Linked DNA regions of Sus scrofa. The protein of the gene in region 1 interacts with the protein of each later gene in a biochemical or structural test. Links are inferred from orthologs where the notes say so. Each region holds a gene or a part of one and is shown in the gene's direction. Other genes may lie near its edges.

What was found. The genes of interacting proteins can lie anywhere in the genome.
Region 2: of the proteins of PRKCB (region 1) and RASGRP3, one has a biochemical effect on the other in vitro, tested with the Homo sapiens proteins (2 studies listed by BioGRID). The link is inferred for Sus scrofa from reciprocal best matches to the Homo sapiens genes PRKCB and RASGRP3.
Region 3: the proteins of PRKCB (region 1) and RACK1 form a complex in vitro, tested with the Homo sapiens proteins (2 studies listed by BioGRID). The link is inferred for Sus scrofa from reciprocal best matches to the Homo sapiens genes PRKCB and RACK1.

What each region holds. Positions count from the first base shown.
Region 1 is NC_010445.4:22,180,345-22,185,899, reverse strand, and holds part of PRKCB (protein kinase C beta type), read left to right. Parts: intron 1-3,154; coding exon 3,155-3,266; intron 3,267-5,555. UniProt on the Homo sapiens protein: Calcium-activated, phospholipid- and diacylglycerol (DAG)-dependent serine/threonine-protein kinase involved in various cellular processes such as regulation of the B-cell receptor (BCR) signalosome, oxidative stress-induced apoptosis, androgen receptor-dependent transcription regulation, insulin signaling and endothelial cells proliferation.
Region 2 is NC_010445.4:106,210,341-106,216,558, reverse strand, and holds the start of RASGRP3 (ras guanyl-releasing protein 3), read left to right. Parts: upstream 1-2,771; 5' UTR 2,772-3,138; intron 3,139-6,218. UniProt on the Homo sapiens protein: Guanine nucleotide exchange factor (GEF) for Ras and Rap1.
Region 3 is NC_010444.4:57,277,636-57,283,638, forward strand, and holds the start of RACK1 (receptor of activated protein C kinase 1), read left to right. Parts: upstream 1-2,556; 5' UTR 2,557-2,643; coding exon 2,644-2,752; intron 2,753-3,669; coding exon 3,670-3,841; intron 3,842-4,359; coding exon 4,360-4,507; intron 4,508-4,740; coding exon 4,741-4,836; intron 4,837-5,383; coding exon 5,384-5,494; intron 5,495-5,841; coding exon 5,842-5,982; intron 5,983-6,003. UniProt on the Homo sapiens protein: Scaffolding protein involved in the recruitment, assembly and/or regulation of a variety of signaling molecules. Interacts with a wide variety of proteins and plays a role in many cellular processes.

The sequences.
Region 1 (5,555 bases):
TTTTGCCTCAAATCTCAAAAGAAGATGCCCTCAGGGACTCCCTTTTTCTATACTGGGTCAGTCTAAGGACATTTAAAACAGCGTCAGACCAATTCTTGGTTCCTCTAAGGTCACGTATCAGGGAGCCCAGAAGGAGCACAAGAAACCAGGAGGAGGAACTTACTCTGGGGCTTGCAGTGGAGCTCGTCTAGGCTACGCATGCCTGACCTCTTTAGGGGGAGACCCTGGGGACCTGGCCCCAACCTCCTGGCAGAGGAGAGAGCTATTGGGAGAGAAATAGAAAGGTGGCCAGAGAAGCTTTTAAAGCCTTTCAAGCTCCACCCACTGAGGCTGGGCCAATCAGTGTCTTGGAATCTGACCAATCAGATAGGCTCTCCTCCTTAGAGGCTGAGTAGGAGGAGTGAGAGAAGCCCTGAGCGCCCCCTCAGGCCAATACCCATCATGAACTGGTGTTTCTTTCTACGTGGATTTGAGGCACTCATTTTTCAATTTTAAGGTGAATTCTCAAAGGTCAGGTACATGGGAAACGTTTTATAGCTCTGAGCCCTGGGACTCTTTTCAGGAACGGGATGTGTGTCTTAGCCCAGGCATGGGAGCCTTTCGCTTTTGTCTTGGGATTTCCAAGCTCTGCTGTTACTGCTGTGGTCCTCAATCCTCAAGCAGAACAGGTGGCTGCTGGAGCCTTTTTGCATCCTGGCAGCCCTGCAGGGTCCCGTGGCCAGAGCAGAGCTGACCCAGCTTCTTAAACTTGGCCATTCAGAACTGTGCAAGGGTCATCACTTCGTCTTTCTGACCCCAGAGGCTTGGAACATCGGAAGAGAAACTTTGTAGCTCATTAAGATGCAGGAGTTCCCCTCATGACTCAGTGGAAATGACTCTGACTAGAATCCATGAGGATGCAGGGTTTGAACCCTGGCCCCGCTTAGTGGGTTAAGGATCTGGCATTGCTGTGAGCTGTGGTGTAGGTCGCAGATGTGGCTCAGATCCTGGCTGTGGGTAGGCTGGCAGCTACAGCTCTGATTCAGCCTGGAAACCTCCATATGCCGCAGGTGCAGCCCTTAAAAAAAAAAAGGAGAAACTGCCACACCTTTTTTTTTTTTTGGAGGGGCTCTACCATTTTGCACCCCCTGCCCCCAGTATTTGCAAACGTTCCAGTTGCGTTTTCTCTTCTCCAGCCCTTAATGTTGTCAGTATGAATTTTCTACCACTTCAGCCATTCTAGTAGGTATAAAGATTATTTTTAAACTTTGAACCTAACAGTTTCCTAAGGAGAAATGCTTATCATTTTAATAGCACAGAATTCGTGCTTATTCTCTTTACTTGCTTACTTGTTCACTTTCTGTCTCTGTTACTAGGATAACTTTTAAAAGGCACCTGCATCAACTAACAAATGTGGATGGATGGGTGGATGGATGCATGAATGGTTTAGGGAGGAGGTGGGTAGTGTATAGCAAAGGCTAGGATGTCCGATCAGCCCTGGGTTAGAACCTTGGGCCCGTTCACTTCTGTAGTATACTCTTTCCCAGAGAAAGCAGTTTCTCAGGCTGGGTCGAGAAAGAGAAGGAATTTTAAAAATTTATTTATTTATGTTGCTTTTTAGGGCCACACCCATGGCCTATGGAGGTTCCCCGGCTAGGGGTCATATCAGAGCTACAGATGCCAGCCTACACCACAGCCACAGCCACAGCCACAGCCACGCAGGATCTGAGCTGTGTCTGCGACCTACACCACAGCTCACGGCCACGCCAGATCCTTAACCCACAGAGCGAGGCCAGGGGTCAAACCCACAACCTCATGGTTCCCAGTCGGATTTGTTTCTGCTGTGCCACGACCAGAACTCCAAAGAGAAGGAATTTTTGTTGTTGGTGGAGCATCTCTTGGAGGAGAAAGACGTTGTGTAGTGCCATAGACTCATGAAAGGCATGGCACGCTTGGGAGTATGACCAAGTCCTGGGTCCTGAAAACATAGTTGGGATCACGTGGGGGATGTATTCATAATAATACTAAAGCTTATACTGCTTACTGTGTGCCAGGCGGGTCCAAGCTCTCTACTTGGGTTAATTCACTTATTCTTCCTCATGCTCCTGTAAGCTTATAGTGCTATCACTCTCTCCATCATACAGACAAGGACAGTGAGGCACAAATAAATAACTTGTTCCAAATCATGCATCTAACAAGAACCCAGGCAGTTTATGCTCCACTGTCAGTACCTTTCAGTAATGCACTGCACTGCTAGGTTACAAAGGCCAAGTTAGTTAGTTAGGGAACAGCAGAAGCTGCTATAACAAACACCCCCCCCCCCCATATAGTGACTTGAGAAAACAGAAGGTAGATTTTTTCGGTCAAATGTGTGTCCCAAGGGACAAAGTCCAGGGCTGCTGGGTCCAAGTTTGGGTCCAAGGTGGTCACGTCCACATCTTACCATCTTCCAGCCCGTGCCAAGGGACACAGGGAGCCAGGGAGGCTGTACATCTTCCTTTTAAACACGTATCTCCCATGGGCTAGATCTCGAGCTGCAAGGAGGCTGGGGCATGTGGTCTTTAATGGAGCAGCGATGCTCTCTGCTAAAACTCAAGGGATCTGTTTTTAAAAGGAAGAATGGATATTGGAGGAATGCCGGTAATCTCTGCCACCACCTACTGACTATGCATCCTGAACTCTGAACTTTGAACTCTGTCCTGTAGTGATGAGGCCCTAGCAAATAGCCTCTAAGGGGGGGAGGTTTCATGCCCGGACTTGGGTTTTAGATCACTCCAGGAGTTGTTCAGAGGACGAAGGAAAGAGAAACAAGGAAACCTGTTGACTTGATGTGTCTGGCGTTTTGTTTGCTGTCTCTGGAGTCCTTGCTGGAGGCAGGACTCAGCAGGCTGGTTTCCCAGATAGAGGACGTGCAGGCACAGTGAGTGAGTGTGCTGGGGTGGGAATGGGCGCTGTCAGTGGTCTTAGTCCATTCATTCATTCATTCATTCATTCAGTGACTCTTTATCAAGCGCCGTGTCTGGGCACAGGACCCTGCCAGTGGTCCCAAGAGGTACACGGAACGCTGGGGGCCAGGTTCCGTTTTTATTAAGTTCTCCAGTGATGCTCAGTGCAGTGTGACTTCTTGGCATGCCACTCTGATGCCAGTCTCTTTGTTGGTTTCTTTGGACCTTAGGACCCCCGGAGCAAACACAAGTTCAAGATCCACACGTACTCCAGCCCCACGTTTTGTGACCACTGTGGGTCCCTGCTGTATGGACTCATCCACCAGGGGATGAAGTGTGACAGTAAGTACTCAGTCCGCCTCTGCTGTCGGGGCGCCTCCCCCGGGGTCTGCAGCACCTTCTTCCGAGTGCAGGGTAGGCTGGGTACCACTTGTCTGTTGCAGGGTAACGGGAGCCATTTGTTTAGCTCATGATGCTGCCAGGCTGTCCTTTGGGTCTGGACTGCCCTTGCTCATGCCTGTGTGGTCGATTAGTGGGTTGGGGTGGGTATTTGTCTGGGCTTGGAGGGCCTCACCCGCATGTCTGGAAGGATGGCTGGCTGTCACATGAGTGATGGGGATGACAGGGCCACGAGTCTTTTATCCCAAATGGGCTAGCCTAGACTTGCTGACATGGAGGTCCCACGTTCCTTAAGAGGGCAAGTCCCACTGAGCAAAGCGAGTCACACAGAAAGGTTCACAGCCACTGTGAGAGGGGACACAGGGAGGCACAGACACATTGTGGCCGTGCCTGCAGCCATGCACACAGCTGTTTCCAACACTGATATGCAGCACTGAGGCTGTTCTTTGCAGAGAGAAAAGACACCCGCGGTTTATACCAAAAGAGGGGAGAGGGTGTGATTCTCAGGCCAGGCTGGGGCGGGAAGAGGCTGGAGAGGGCAGGACTCCTCTTTATTAAAGAAAGGACTGAATGGCCCATGGGGTGGGACAGCCAGCAGGCTCTGAGAGCTGCAGCTTCCCCTGCAAAGGGACGGGGCGAGGACAGGGAGCTCCGTGCTGGCCGGGGGCCTGTCGACCTATAGCAGGCAGAGCCGTCACGAAGCCAGACTGTCTGAGGACAGAGGGAGAAATCCTCAGGGGCAGAGAGTGACTGAGAGGGATGGATGTGGCTTTGGAGGGAGCGGAAGGGAGGGAGAGAGAGAAACACACAAGTAGAGACAGGTGGATGCTGGGGCGGGGGGAGGGGTTGGGGGCAGATGCCATGTGGGTCCAGGTGTAGGGGGCGCCCAATGAAGCTGCAGAGGGACCCTGCACCAGAGAGACTCCAGCAGAAGGAGGGACGGAGGATGAACCAACAGACACAATGACTGGAAGTGACACAGAGGTGCGCTCACACGGGCTCCTGTGGGAGATGCAGAGAGAGCAGAAACAGAAACACACATGGAGAGACACACACACACAGAGATGGAGGCAAAGAGACGTGATGCAGAAACTATTCCCCAATGCATCTGTGGTCCCAAGGCATGTGTGGGTGCGTGCGCGCGCGTGCGCGCACACACACACGCACACACAGAGGAGCAAGGACCAGGAAAGAGACAAACGCCAAGATGGGTACTGAGAGACAGGCGGGCACAGACACAGGATTAGAGCCGCAGAGACACAGTAGAGATCGGAGCTCCCAGGCAGACACTTGATAGAGGCTTGCAGGACACCGACTCTTCTGAGCTGCCGTGGGGCCCCAAATTTTTCTCAAGGACAGAGAGGGGTGGGATGGGGGCACTTGAGCTGACACAGAGCCCTGAATTTGGGCGCTCAGGTTCCAGGGGGCTCTCCCTTTCTCCTTGCTCACCGTCCTCCCCCCACAACTCATTCCCAGATTTGTAATCTGCCTGCTGCCTCCTGGAGCTTGGGCGGGCTGAGAAGGGGCGCCCTTGGCACCCCCTGCCCCTGGTCGTGCCCTGCTCCTAGCTCCTGTGGAATCCCCTGGAATGCAGACCCTGTAGGGGGGTGATCCAGCCTCTCCTCCTGGCTGCTCAGACTGGAACAAGGGGGCCCCTTGGGAACACTGGACTCCAGGCACAACTTCCTGGAGCAGCCATGGTGCCAAAGAACTTGGGGGAAACCAGCTACCCACTGAGAGAAGCACAGAGGCCCCATGGGGGTGGGGTGGGGGGAAAGGGGGCATGCGTTTATCAGATCGCAGAGAACCCTTCAGAGTGTCAGGTTCAGTTTGCAGACATATTTCATTCATCTTACCCTGGGTCTATTTTTTTTTTTTGGTCTTTTTTTTTTTTTTTTTTTAGGGCTGCACTGGTGGCATATGGAAGTTCCCAGGCTAAGGGTCGAATCAGAGCTACAGCTGCTGGCCTATGCCACAGCCTCAGAAACTTGGGATCCGAGCTGCATCTGTGACCTACACCATACCTCATGGCAACACCGTATCCGCGACCCACTGAGTGAGGCCAGGGATCGAACTTGCATCCTCATGGATACTAGTCGGATTCGTTTCCACTGAGCCATGATGGGAACTTCCCCTGGGTCTAATTTTTTTTTTTTTTTTTTTTTTTGGTCGCAATTAGTTACAGTGGATATCGTGGGTGCTCTGCTCAGATCCCAAGAGGATGCCCCTTCC
Region 2 (6,218 bases), about 84 Mb from region 1:
ACTAAACAAAATTAGAGAATGCAAGTTCTTGTGATGAGGACTTTTAAGATTTACATGCTTAGCAACTTTCAAAGATGCAATATGATATTATTAACACAAGTCACCAAGCTGTACTCCCAACTTCTTTCTAGAGGGTGGGATACTAATAAACAAACAGAATAATTGTATAGACTGGTGCTTCTCATACTTCACTGAGCATGAGAATCATCTGAAGTTAAAATGCAGATTCTTGGGGCCTACCCCAGAGTTTCCGACCAAAGTACTACAGATGCTATTGGTCTGTGGACAACACTCTGAGTTGCCCCTCCTGTCAAGAGATTCTCTAGATATTCCAGTGTTGCTTCTCAAAGTGTTACCCCAATGTAAAGAGAAGATTGTTGAGACAGTAAGTACATAATGATTCACAGATAGGTAAGATAATAGATAACGAATAGAATCCTATGAAGGACCTTAAGTAATAACAGTTTTTAAATTTCTGTCTTTAAAATTAGTAAGTTTTTCAAAAAGACAACATGTGGACTGGTAGAAAATATTTGCAAATGATGTGACCCACAAGGGCTTAATTTCCCAAATATATGAATAGCTCATACCACTCAGTATCAGAAAAATAACTCAACTGAAAAATGCACGAAAAGGCCTAAAAAGACAATCCTCCAAAGAAGACATGCAGATGACCAAAAAACACATGATACGATGATCAACATCACTAATTATTAGAGAAAAGCAAGTCACAACTATAATGAGATGTCAGCTCACATCAGTCAGAATGGCCATCATTAAGAAGTCTACAAATAACAAATGCTGGAGAGGGTGTTGAGAAAAGGAACCCTTCTACATTGTTGGTGGGAATATAAATTGTTGCAGCTACTATGAAAAACAATGTGAAAGTTTATCAAAAAGCTAAAAATATAGTTGCCATATGATCCAGCAATCCAATCCTGGGCATATTATCTAGACAAAACTATAATTCAGAAAAATACATGCACCCCTATGTTCATTGTAGCACTCTTCATAATAGCCAAGACATGGAAACAACCTAAATGTCCATCAACAGATGAATGGATGAAGAAGATGGTACATATACACAATGGAATACTACTCAGCCACAAAAAAGAATGAAATAATGCCATTTGTAGCAACATAGATGGACCTAGAGATTATCATACTAAGCGAAGTCCGTCAGAAAGAGAAAGACAAATACCATGTGATACCGCTTATATGTGGAATCTAAAATATGGTGCAAATGATCCTATCTACAAAACAGAAACAGACTCACAGACATGAAGAACAGACTTGTGGTTGCCAAGGAGGAGAGGGTGGGGGAGGAAAGCATTGGGAATTTGGAATTAGTATACGCAAACTATTACATATTAAATGAATAAACAACAGAGTCCTACTGTATAGCATAAGGAACTATATTCAATATTATGTGATAAACTGTAATGGAAAAGAATATGAAAAAAAATTTAGGTGTAACTGAATCACTTTGCATATAGCAGAAATTAACCAACATTTTAAATCAACTATACTTAAAAAATAAAATAAATCACTTTTTGAAGCATGGTATACACAGTATAAAAGTGAAAAGAGCAAAAATATATCAGAAATTAAACTGCCCACCCATTCCAGATACCCACGCCCACTTTGCAGAGTCAAGCATGTTTAGGGATCTTGTTAGACCATGTGCTCTTAACATTTTGAAAGAAGTTGAAAATTACCATCTATCAAATAGTTTATTCCAGTGTATACTTCCAAATACTTTATATGGATGCTTATTTCTTTTTTTTCTTTTCTTTTCTTTTTTTTTTTTTTGTCTTTTTGCTATTTCTTGGGCGGCTCCCGTGGCATATGGAGGTTCCCAGGCTTGGGGTCGAATCGGAGCTATAGCCGCTGGCCCACGCCAGAGCCACAGCAACGCGGGGTCCAAGCTGCGTCTGCGCCCTACACCACAGCTCACAGCAACGCCGGATCGTTAACCCACTGAGCAAGGGCAGGGATCAAACCCGCAACCTCATGGTTCCTAGTCGGATTGTTAACCACTGCGCCACGACGGCAACTCCTGGATGCTTATTTCTTCACTCTTCAGGGACATCGGACAATAGCCAAAATTTTGATCTGCCAATCTGACATGTAGAAAATGACATCTAATTTTTATTTTCGTTTGTGTTGCATACAGTTATGAGAGAAGTTAAACAACTCTGAGTAACAAGACTGTGGACAATCCATTAGTTTAGCGCAATTGGCTGCAAATGGTTTACAAATTCAACTTCATACTTTCATTCACTCAAAAGCATCTGCTTTTCTTGTTCACCTGATATTTTCCTTTTGCTGAATCTTGCCTCAAGAAATACTGATTCATTTCCTTCTGAATGAAAAGAAACAACTATGGCATGACCCCCACCCCTACCCCCGTCTGCCTCCTTCCTCATTTCCCCCAGGAAATTCGATTTTTAGAGCAATCCTTTGAAAAATGAAGGCTGAGATGTAGGTTGTTTACAGTTTATATGAAAAAAATGATACATCTCCAAACCCAAGATTTGTTTATGGGAAATGACAACTTAGAGCCAAACCAAGGTTATAGGAATTTAAAGAAAATGTTGGCTATGGTGCACAGATCAAAGCTGAATTTTCCTTGTTTACTGGTGTTCACTTGAAAGAAACACACACACACACACACACACACACACACACACACACACACGCACCCCCAAGACTGCTTTTTGAAATCAAATGCATTTCCTGCCCTCTTCTTTCCTCAGTGCTCTTACCACCAGCCTATTTATAGCCCAGGAAAGGAAAAAGCTCTGCTGGAGGCAGGAAAACTAAGTTCAGAAAGAATAGGAGGAAGTGTGCCTGCCATTTAGCCAAACAACCTTTAATTCATTGAGCTCAAAGCTTAGCAGCTTCACTGTCGTTGTTAGGGTGTAAACAGCTTGCAAATTCAATTTTTTTTCCTCTTCCCGATTCTGAACTGGATTTGGGCAATGGAGGTGAATGCAGCGTTTTAGAAGAGAGGACAGGATTCTCTAGGTGTTCCAACACGTGGAAGAGAAACTTGTTAAGAGTTGTTGAAGCAGTGCGAAAGAGAGGATTTGATAAAGAGATGCGCTCGAAATGATTCCACGACTGCAAGTTAAGGTAAGTGTCCTTTTTAAGACCGTACATTGTTGTGTCTACATTCATATCATGTACCATGGATACTGGTCACAGACAGTGTATATAATCTGAGGGCAGGTCCTCATGCAGAGCTCATGAACTTTGCTTCTATCTCTGAAGAAATGTGCAGATCAGCCTCGGCTATGCCATCTTCACTTTTTAACAGGAATAAAAATTTTAAATAATTGTTTCCTTAAGATAATTTTATCGCCACTAAGTTTTCTTTCATTTCATTACCAGCAGGGGATCAAATAGTATAAATAAATTCACTGAAGATCATTTTGAAAAATCCTTGATATTTGTCTGTTTTTCTATCCTTCTCAAAGTGCTGATTAATAATCCATGTGCCCTTTTCTGGTATCGCTATTGGTTTAGAATACATTTACTAGATATGCTTCCAAGCTAGTGTGACCTATTTTAGAAAAGTTATTTTTAACTAAAAAATTTAAATTTTATATAAAATGAAAATTAATTTTTTTCTATACAAAGTGTCTCCTGGAATTCACAATTATTTACACTGAAGCTATTATTTCAAAACATTCATTGAACATGTATTTTCTGAGTAACCTGAACAAAGGTCCCTGGATTTGGAAGTGGAAAGGTCAAGAGGAAATGGATTAAATCTGAGAGCTCTTGATGCTGCCCACAAAAACTCTGAGAGATGGGGACATTGTAACTTCTTTTAACATTTCTTGCCATCAAACAAATACATTTGTTTCCATGATGACCATACTTTCATCCACCACTGCTAACCTCCACATCTGTGTCCTGGAAAAACTTGATTAATGTCATGCCCATGTCAAACAAAGGAATAGGGGTTCTGGTGGTTTCGGGAAAAGGAAGAAGGAAATGTATTGCTGTTATTTTGGCTTACCCCAGTTTGAGATTGGTATGTTTAGCATCTGCTGTAAGAAGATAGCAAAGCTGGAAGCCAGAATAGCTGAGCCAGCCAGATGACAATTGACACAGGAGGCCACGGGCTCAGTGCTGTCTCATTATGGAGCTCACCGACTGTTCTCTTTCCTGGAAGAATTTAAGGGTTATTTTCTTCTGATTAGAAAATTATAATTCATTCCATGGAAATAGCGGAGAAAAAATATGCTTGACTAGAAAGAGCAATATTTCTTAGTTAAACGTAGGTTGTAAAAAATAGGGGGAAGTGAAATTAATCTGGACAAATATGATGGGTCTGAGGAAACAAATTCTGAGCACTCGTTTCTAGGACATGCCAGTACTGCAACGTCCTGAATTCAGGGCTGAATCTATTTTACTCTTTCCACAAAGTGAAACCTATAGTACTCTAATTAACTGCCACTCCACATGGGTCCACATTGCTTACAATGATCCTGACTTGTGTTAACGTTGAACGTTTTCCTCTTACAGTTTCAAAACAGCATTCTCATTTGACACCTTTGTATGTTTACATACATTACAAGAATAAAAAAAGTTTTAAATACTACTGAAGGTTGAAACAATAGATAAAACTACGAGTTATCTATTTTATTCTAAGAATATGTATTTTTTTCACTTTTAAAAGTTTTGTTGTTGGTCATTGGTTTCTGGATGCTCCATAGTTGCTTATGAATGTATTCATGAAATGCCAGCTATTTAAAATAGATTTCTTGAGCGTGGCTTAACAATGTCACAGCTTTCTGGATGTATTCTGAAGCTCCTGAGAATATGCTACATTATTAGAGTTAGAAAATTTGGGGGGAAAAAAAGCTGCCAATTTTTAAAGCTTCTCTGTTAAATAAATAGACATTTATTTCTGGGTTTCCAGCATAACTCCTGTAATCACTGTATGTTTACAGATTGCACAGGACAGCCACCTTTGACCCTGCCATTGAAATATCACTGAAATCAGGTTACTGATGAGAGTGTTGTGGAGTGTTAAGAAATTTAGATGTTGCCAAGTGCAATCCACAGTTTGCAGGATTTATTGAAGAGGGACATAGGGAGATGCGTGCCAAGGTCAGGTGGACATACCCACCTGGCCTGTTGCTGTGGGAGGAGGGGGAGGTGAAAATTGATGTTCATGGGTCTATGAGCACCTTACATCCAGATTAGTGGCCTCTGGAGGTTCTTTTTCTCCTATGCTCTCATCTCCTGATATCCTGTTTGACAGGTCAGCAGCAACCCTACACCTTCAAAGCATATTTATTAAGTTCTCCTACTTGTAATATAATCTCTGTCTTTGATAAACTCAGCATTTACTTGGAGCAAGGAAATTATGTGGAACACAAGACATCCTGTATATGGAACCAAATGGGTGGTATAGATAATGTGTACAGATGAGGAAGCCCTGATCTAAGCAGGCTTCATGGAAGAATGAGGTTGAGCCCAGCCTCGAAGGGCAGAAGGAGATCTGATGGGTACAGCAAGAGATAAGAGCATCCAAGACAAGGAAGGATCTGTGTGCCTGGGCAGAGATAGCAATGGACTTGGGTCACCAGATAAAATACAGGATTTCCACTCAAGTGTGAATTTCCAATAAACAACGTATACTTTTTCTAGTAAGAGTATGTCCTATTGTATCAGTATGAGAGGCCTATTGCATGAGATATACTTAAACAAAACATGTTTGTGGTTTATCTGATTCACATTCAACAGAGAGTCCTGTGTTTTTTATTTCCTAAATCTGGCAACCTTTCCAGGGAACCAGGTTGACAGGAGCAGAAACAATACACATATGGAGTAAAAGAAAAGCTTCTGGAGGAGGTGGGGGTTAGGTTGAGGTGGGACTGCAATGCCAGACTAAGGAAGTTAAAATCTGATTTCAAGATGCTGGAGAGCCACTGAAGGTTTTGAAAAGGGAAATGACATCAATAAGATCTTCCCATTCCAGGCAGGACCTGGTGGGGCAAAGAGTACAGTTCATCAAGGTCTGGGGGCTGGTGACAACAGAGAAAAAGAAACCAACCAGATAGAGGGACAGTTGGAGAACAAAGCCACATGTTTTGTAAACTAATTGAATATGGTTTTTGGAGAGGACGTGTTAGAGAGGATATTATGTTTTATGGTCCATTCAAAGAAATAGCCAAAGAGATAGCCGCAGATCAGGG
Region 3 (6,003 bases), on another chromosome or scaffold:
TCCAGGCAAAACTCAAATTACCCTCCTGGTCCCATAGGAAGGGGCACTGCCAGAATTGTTTCAAGAGTAGAGACAGGAGTTCCCGTCGTGGTGCAGTGGTTAACGAATCCGACTAGGAACCATGAGGTTGCGGGTTCGGTCCCTGCCCTTGCTCAGTGGGTTAACGATCCGGCGTTGCCGTGAGCTGTGGTGTAGGTTGCAGACGCGGCTCGGATCCCGAGTTGCTGTGGCTCTGGCGTAGGCCAGTGGCTACAGCTCCGATTCGACCCCTAGCCTGGGAACCTCCATATGCCGCGGGAGCGGCCCAAGAAATAGCAACAACAACAACAACAAAAGACAAAAAAAAAAAAAAAAAGAGTAGAGACAAGGAAGGGGAGAGGCCCTCCGGATGTGAAAGTCACTTTCTGCAGTCCGGGTACAGAGGGAAGACAAGGAAGCAAGGTGAACTTGGGGGACCCCAGAGGATGGAGCTAGGCTGGGAGCTTCTGGAAAGGAGTCTGGCCTTACAGAAAGGTCTCTGAGGCAAGGTTGGGCTTACCCTCAGGGGTCCACATTCCATAGGGATCTTCCCTGGGCGAAGTTCAAGAAACAGAGCCAGAAAGAGGTTTCTTGGGGGAAAAAGTGTAATAATGTGTGATTAGTGATGGTGTCTTTGGGGACTGGAGGTAGGAGGTGGAGAATCGAGGGTTCTTGAGGACTGAGAGGAGATTTTGCTCAGCAGGCCTCATATTCCACACTGAGATGCAATAGAATTGTTCACCTCTCCATTGTGCCCAGTGCCCAGAAGGACTCAGGCATGGCCCAAGTCGTGGGCAGCAAGCTGGATAGTGGGGTAGGTAAAGGCAATGGTCTCCCATGACCACAGCAGAAACAAAACACGTGGGTGGGGTAGCCTTCAAAGCCGGAGAAAGTGACAGGACAGCCGTTGGGGGTGTCATGGAGGCAGGTGATGCACAAAGCTGGGAGTCTGGGAGGATAGTTGTCAGGCTGTGGAGGAGCTTAACAAAGACTGCACCCTTCCGAGCCCGAACGTGGCTGCAGAGGAAAGCAGGGGTCTGCAGGGGCAGCAGGAGAGTAGCTGCTCTCAAGCGAGGAAATTCCGGCCCTCTTTGCACACCTGAGCGGCCACAGCCAACAGCAGCTTCGCCATTACCCCTGCCTTCCTTCTCAAAGGCAGGCTTTCTGGTTGGGGTTTCCGCGGTCCTTCCCCCAGCCTGCAAGGCCCTCTGTCAGCTCCCCCGCCCCACCTCCATCTCATTATTCCGACCCTCCGTCCTAAGCGCTTCCAACGCTCCAGCTCAGGACTTTTATCACTGACCCTTCCCTCCGACTTTCTCTATATGTAACCATTGACTGGGACATTACATCATCATAAATCCACGGGGTTCTCTCCCAGATCTTCCTGTCTTTGTTAAAGTCTCCCCTTCAAGCTCTCTTCTCTCCAGCGCATTGACTGTAAACTTAAAAACAAACTAAACCTGGTCCCTTTCTTCCTCTTCAGAGATATATCCCCAAGATCTAAAATAAAGAGTCTGGTACTCAAATGTTAAGTTGGGCGCATTCACTCTGCCAGCCACTTTTTTGGGCATTTTACCTGTCTTAACTCATTTACTCTCCACAATACCTTAGGAGGTAGGTACTATTACTCCCAAACTCGTTTGACTGATAAGAAATTAAGTTAATACAAGTTACAAACAGGAAATACTTGGGCACGCCTAGGACCACCGCCCCCCCCCCCCGCCCCAGACCCACGGCCCTTCCATGAGGTGGCTTGGCCAGGAGCTGGTTTTGACCCGAGCCCACATTAAGTCAGAACCCACAGGTCCTTCCTCTTAGGACCGCTCAGTTTCCGCGAGAGCTCTCCGCGCTCTTGCCGAGGCAGGAGTGGGGTGACTGCCCAGCAGCCCACATAAGGATTTTTCCTTCATCCTCGGTTTTCCGCTCCATAACCCATTTCTGCCTTAGTCCTGGCTGAACTCAGTCTTTCTGGGCATGGAGTTCCTCAGCCAAAAACATCAGAGCATAAACCTCTCCAGAGAAGAGTCGTCCCCCGCGCATGTATATCTGTTAGAGTTTAATAGTTCACCTTAGCACAGTTTATTTTTAAAACTTAACACCGGATTTTTTACATTGCCCACCGTTACTCACAGTTGCGGCCTCGATATTAAACGCCCTCTGTGTTGCTCTCAGAGCCACGAAGCGGAAGGGGCGGGGTTCGCGCGGTGCGACCTACGGGAAGCGAAGGCGCTAGGCTATCCTTACGGGAATGGGGCGAGCACTTCCCGTCTTCCGCTTTTTAGACATCATTCCCTAATCAACCTTTGAGGAGCCTTTTAAAATACTCTGGCGTGTCGGTTTTGGAATTCATTTTTACAGTGCTGCCAAATTAGGTCGCGCGGAGCAGGGAACCATCAGGTCTTATTTTGCTTCCTCCCGGGCACTATGTAGTGCCGCCATCTTGAGCAGGAGTGCATTGTGGGAGGGCACCATTTTTCCGGAGAGGGAGGGTATTTCCGGTTCCGGCATGCCACTGCTCGGTCTTTTCCTCAGCCGGGCCTCGGCGTGAGAGGCCGTGCAGGTCGTCTCTCTGAGCTATCCGGTACCATCCTCGTCGCTCCGGCGACATCTGCATCTGCTGCCGCCATGACTGAACAGATGACTCTCCGTGGCACCCTCAAGGGCCATAACGGCTGGGTGACCCAGATTGCTACCACTCCCCAGTTCCCGGACATGATACTGTCCGCTTCTCGAGGTACGGACTGAGGTGCGGTGTAGAGGATACGGGAGTAGGGGATTGCGCACGTTGTATGGCTGGGCCAGTAGACCGCCAAGTAGCGGCCCTGAAAATTCGGTTAGGGTGTGAGCTGACCCGTGCGTAAGGCCTCAGCGTGGTTAAACCCTTGAGGCGTCCCCACTTTGCAGACTGCGAAACATAGACCACCCAGTAGCTGCCAGGAGGGGGTTGGGGACTTCTTTTAAATCTCTGGCCGACTTATCTAAGTGGATGTGTGCCCAGGAGCCTCGGGGCCGGACGGGGCGGTGATGATTCCAACATGCCATCTGAGTGCCCATGCTGAAACCCAGAGGCTGTTTCTGAGCTGCCGCCCGGCCCTCTACTCGGTTGGAAGTGGAGTGATTGCAATGTCAACGTGTGCCGATTTTGCCCTCGGTTTTTCCTCATTCTCTTTGTATATGACTGCGTTTGGGGTTTTAATCAGAAAGTTTGTTGAGTAGAACGCATTGAAGTGAAAGAACCCAGTCCTGTAGAGCCTAAAGTGACTTCTAATTTCAGAACTTCTGGAGGCCCCAGCAGTAGTCTCTGGAGGCTCACAGCTAGTTTTCTCTCACCTAGAGTGCTGTACCCATCCATTAGAACTCAGAAAAAAACTTGAAATAGACGTTGAGTTGGTGCGAATATCTGTAAAAGGCATCCATAATCTGGAAAAGTTCCAAACACCTGAGTTAAATTCTCATAGCTTTTTCACTCTTGACCATTTGGCCCTGACTGGGAACTGCTTTCATAACCTGTAGTTCCCCTACCCCTTTAATGTACTTAACTTGTGAGCCCGTCAATCACCTTGAGGTATCCTGGATTATCTAGTAGGTCAGAAGATGGGCTGCGGGATTTCTCAGTGGCTTTCCTCTGTTTTTTTTTTTACCTCCTCTTAGACAAGACCATCATCATGTGGAAGCTGACCAGAGATGAGACCAATTATGGAATCCCACAGCGTGCTCTTCGGGGTCACTCCCACTTTGTTAGTGACGTGGTCATCTCCTCAGATGGCCAGTTTGCCCTCTCGGGCTCCTGGGATGGAACCCTTCGCCTCTGGGATCTCACAACGCAAGTACCTGTTTGGGGGCATTGGGGGAAAGCTGGGTAGAAATGAGGTAGATACTTTCTGGAAGTAGTTTCCCAGGAGAGATCAGGTTCACTGTGTAAGAGAATATCTGGAAAAGAGTTCTGGTTGTTTGGCCTGCCTCCTTATTTGTTATTATGCAAAATTTCTGTGAAGTGGTTTGGTTGAGCAGTTTTTTCAGGTACTGCACTAGGGAGTGGGCAACAGTTTGAACCTGTTGTATATTGGGAGCTCAGTCTTTGGTTGGTCAGGCATAATGGAGGATCCTGGTGATGACCAATGACATTGTCAGCCAATCCCCACATGGGAATGAGGACATGTCCTGCAATTCTGAAGGGATTCTCTTGCATATTCCAGCCAAGGGCCTGCTGTTACCAAACCATGTCCAGGGTTGTGTGAGTAGTGCAGCTCCATTGGGACAGGAACCAGCCTAGGGAAACAGTTATGACTGGGAGAATATTTGCAAAGTCCATCCATAGTGTAACCAAGTCCTCCCTCTCAGGGGCACCACCACGCGCCGATTTGTAGGCCATACTAAGGATGTGCTGAGTGTGGCCTTCTCCTCTGACAACCGACAAATTGTCTCTGGCTCCCGAGATAAAACCATCAAGCTATGGAATACTCTGGGTGTGTGCAAATACACTGTCCAGGTAAAGTGAGGGCACACGCAGGGAACACATGTTGAACATTTTCTCCCATCCTTTTGGCTTTATGTGGTGATTTCAAGCCTCTTTGGGGATCTAAAGCAATTCTGTCAATCTTGATTGAGGGTTTGGGTTCTGGGGGTGTGAACACAAGGCTATCAAAATATATCCCTGTAACTGAGGGAAGGGTTGGTGATCTAGAGTTGCTTAGTATCTTATTTTCCTTCCATCCTTTGCAGGATGAGAGCCACTCAGAGTGGGTGTCTTGTGTCCGCTTCTCACCCAACAGCAGCAATCCCATTATTGTTTCCTGTGGCTGGGACAAGCTGGTCAAGGTGAGCTTGGAGCCAGGGTGTAGGGCCTTTATACCAACCCCCACTGCCTCCCAATTAGTTGGTCATAGCTCCAGCTTTGAAAGCTGTGTCCCTCAATTGACCTTTATCCTCTTGATATTTTCTCAGTATAGGTCATTACTTTTTTATATATATTCTGAAGTAGCTAATTGGTAAATTAGTGTCCCTTGGTGGCAACACAAATCATTTATTTCTGGGGCGGGGGGAAATGTTTATTTTTTGGCCATGGAAGTTCTGGGGCCAGGAATCCATGCCACAGTAGCAACTTGAGCCACGTCAGTGCCAGTGCCATTGCCAGATCCTTAACCCACTGCGCCACCAGGAAAACTCCCAATTCCAATTTCCAGTTTTAATCTTACTATTCTTAAGTGCTCAGGACAAATTCTTTGACCTTTTTTGTTACTTATAGAATTGAAATTGGCTTCCCTGTTCAGGAATGCTTTTAAACATTGTGCTATGCCTTTTATTTGGCCTGAGCCCTCTTGGCAGATCCAGGGCCAGGTTTTTCACCTGTGACCCACGATCTTAGGTATGGAACTTGGCTAACTGCAAGCTGAAAACCAATCACATCGGCCACACAGGCTACCTGAACACTGTGACTGTCTCTCCAGATGGATCCCTCTGTGCTTCTGGAGGCAAGGTATTCAAAGGCCAGGAGTCTCCTCAAGGGGCGGGGGCAGAAGTGGGACAGACAGTGTCTTAGAATACTTAAGATAATGAAATAGTAATACAAGAATAAATGTTTCTGAAGACCATGCAGAAAATGACAGAAAAGGTGTGCTCTTTGCCGAGATTGTCTGCTGTGAGGCTGGTTTCTTAAAGCTATTGATGAGATTAGGATCCTGTGTCTTGATAGGATTGGTGAGGTGTCATGTATTAAAGGAAAGCATATTGATATTGATTGATTAGTTCTTAAGACTTGAGATGAGTGGGATTAACATCTGGAAGAAGTCACATTGCCCTGACTTGCATCCCCTCTCTGCTCAGGATGGCCAGGCCATGTTGTGGGACCTTAATGAAGGCAAGCACCTTTACACGCTAGATGGTGGGGATATCATCAATGCCCTGTGCTTCAGTCCCAATCGCTACTGGCTCTGTGCTGCTACAGGCCCTAGCATCAAGATCTGGGTGAGTATGTGCCGCAGTTGA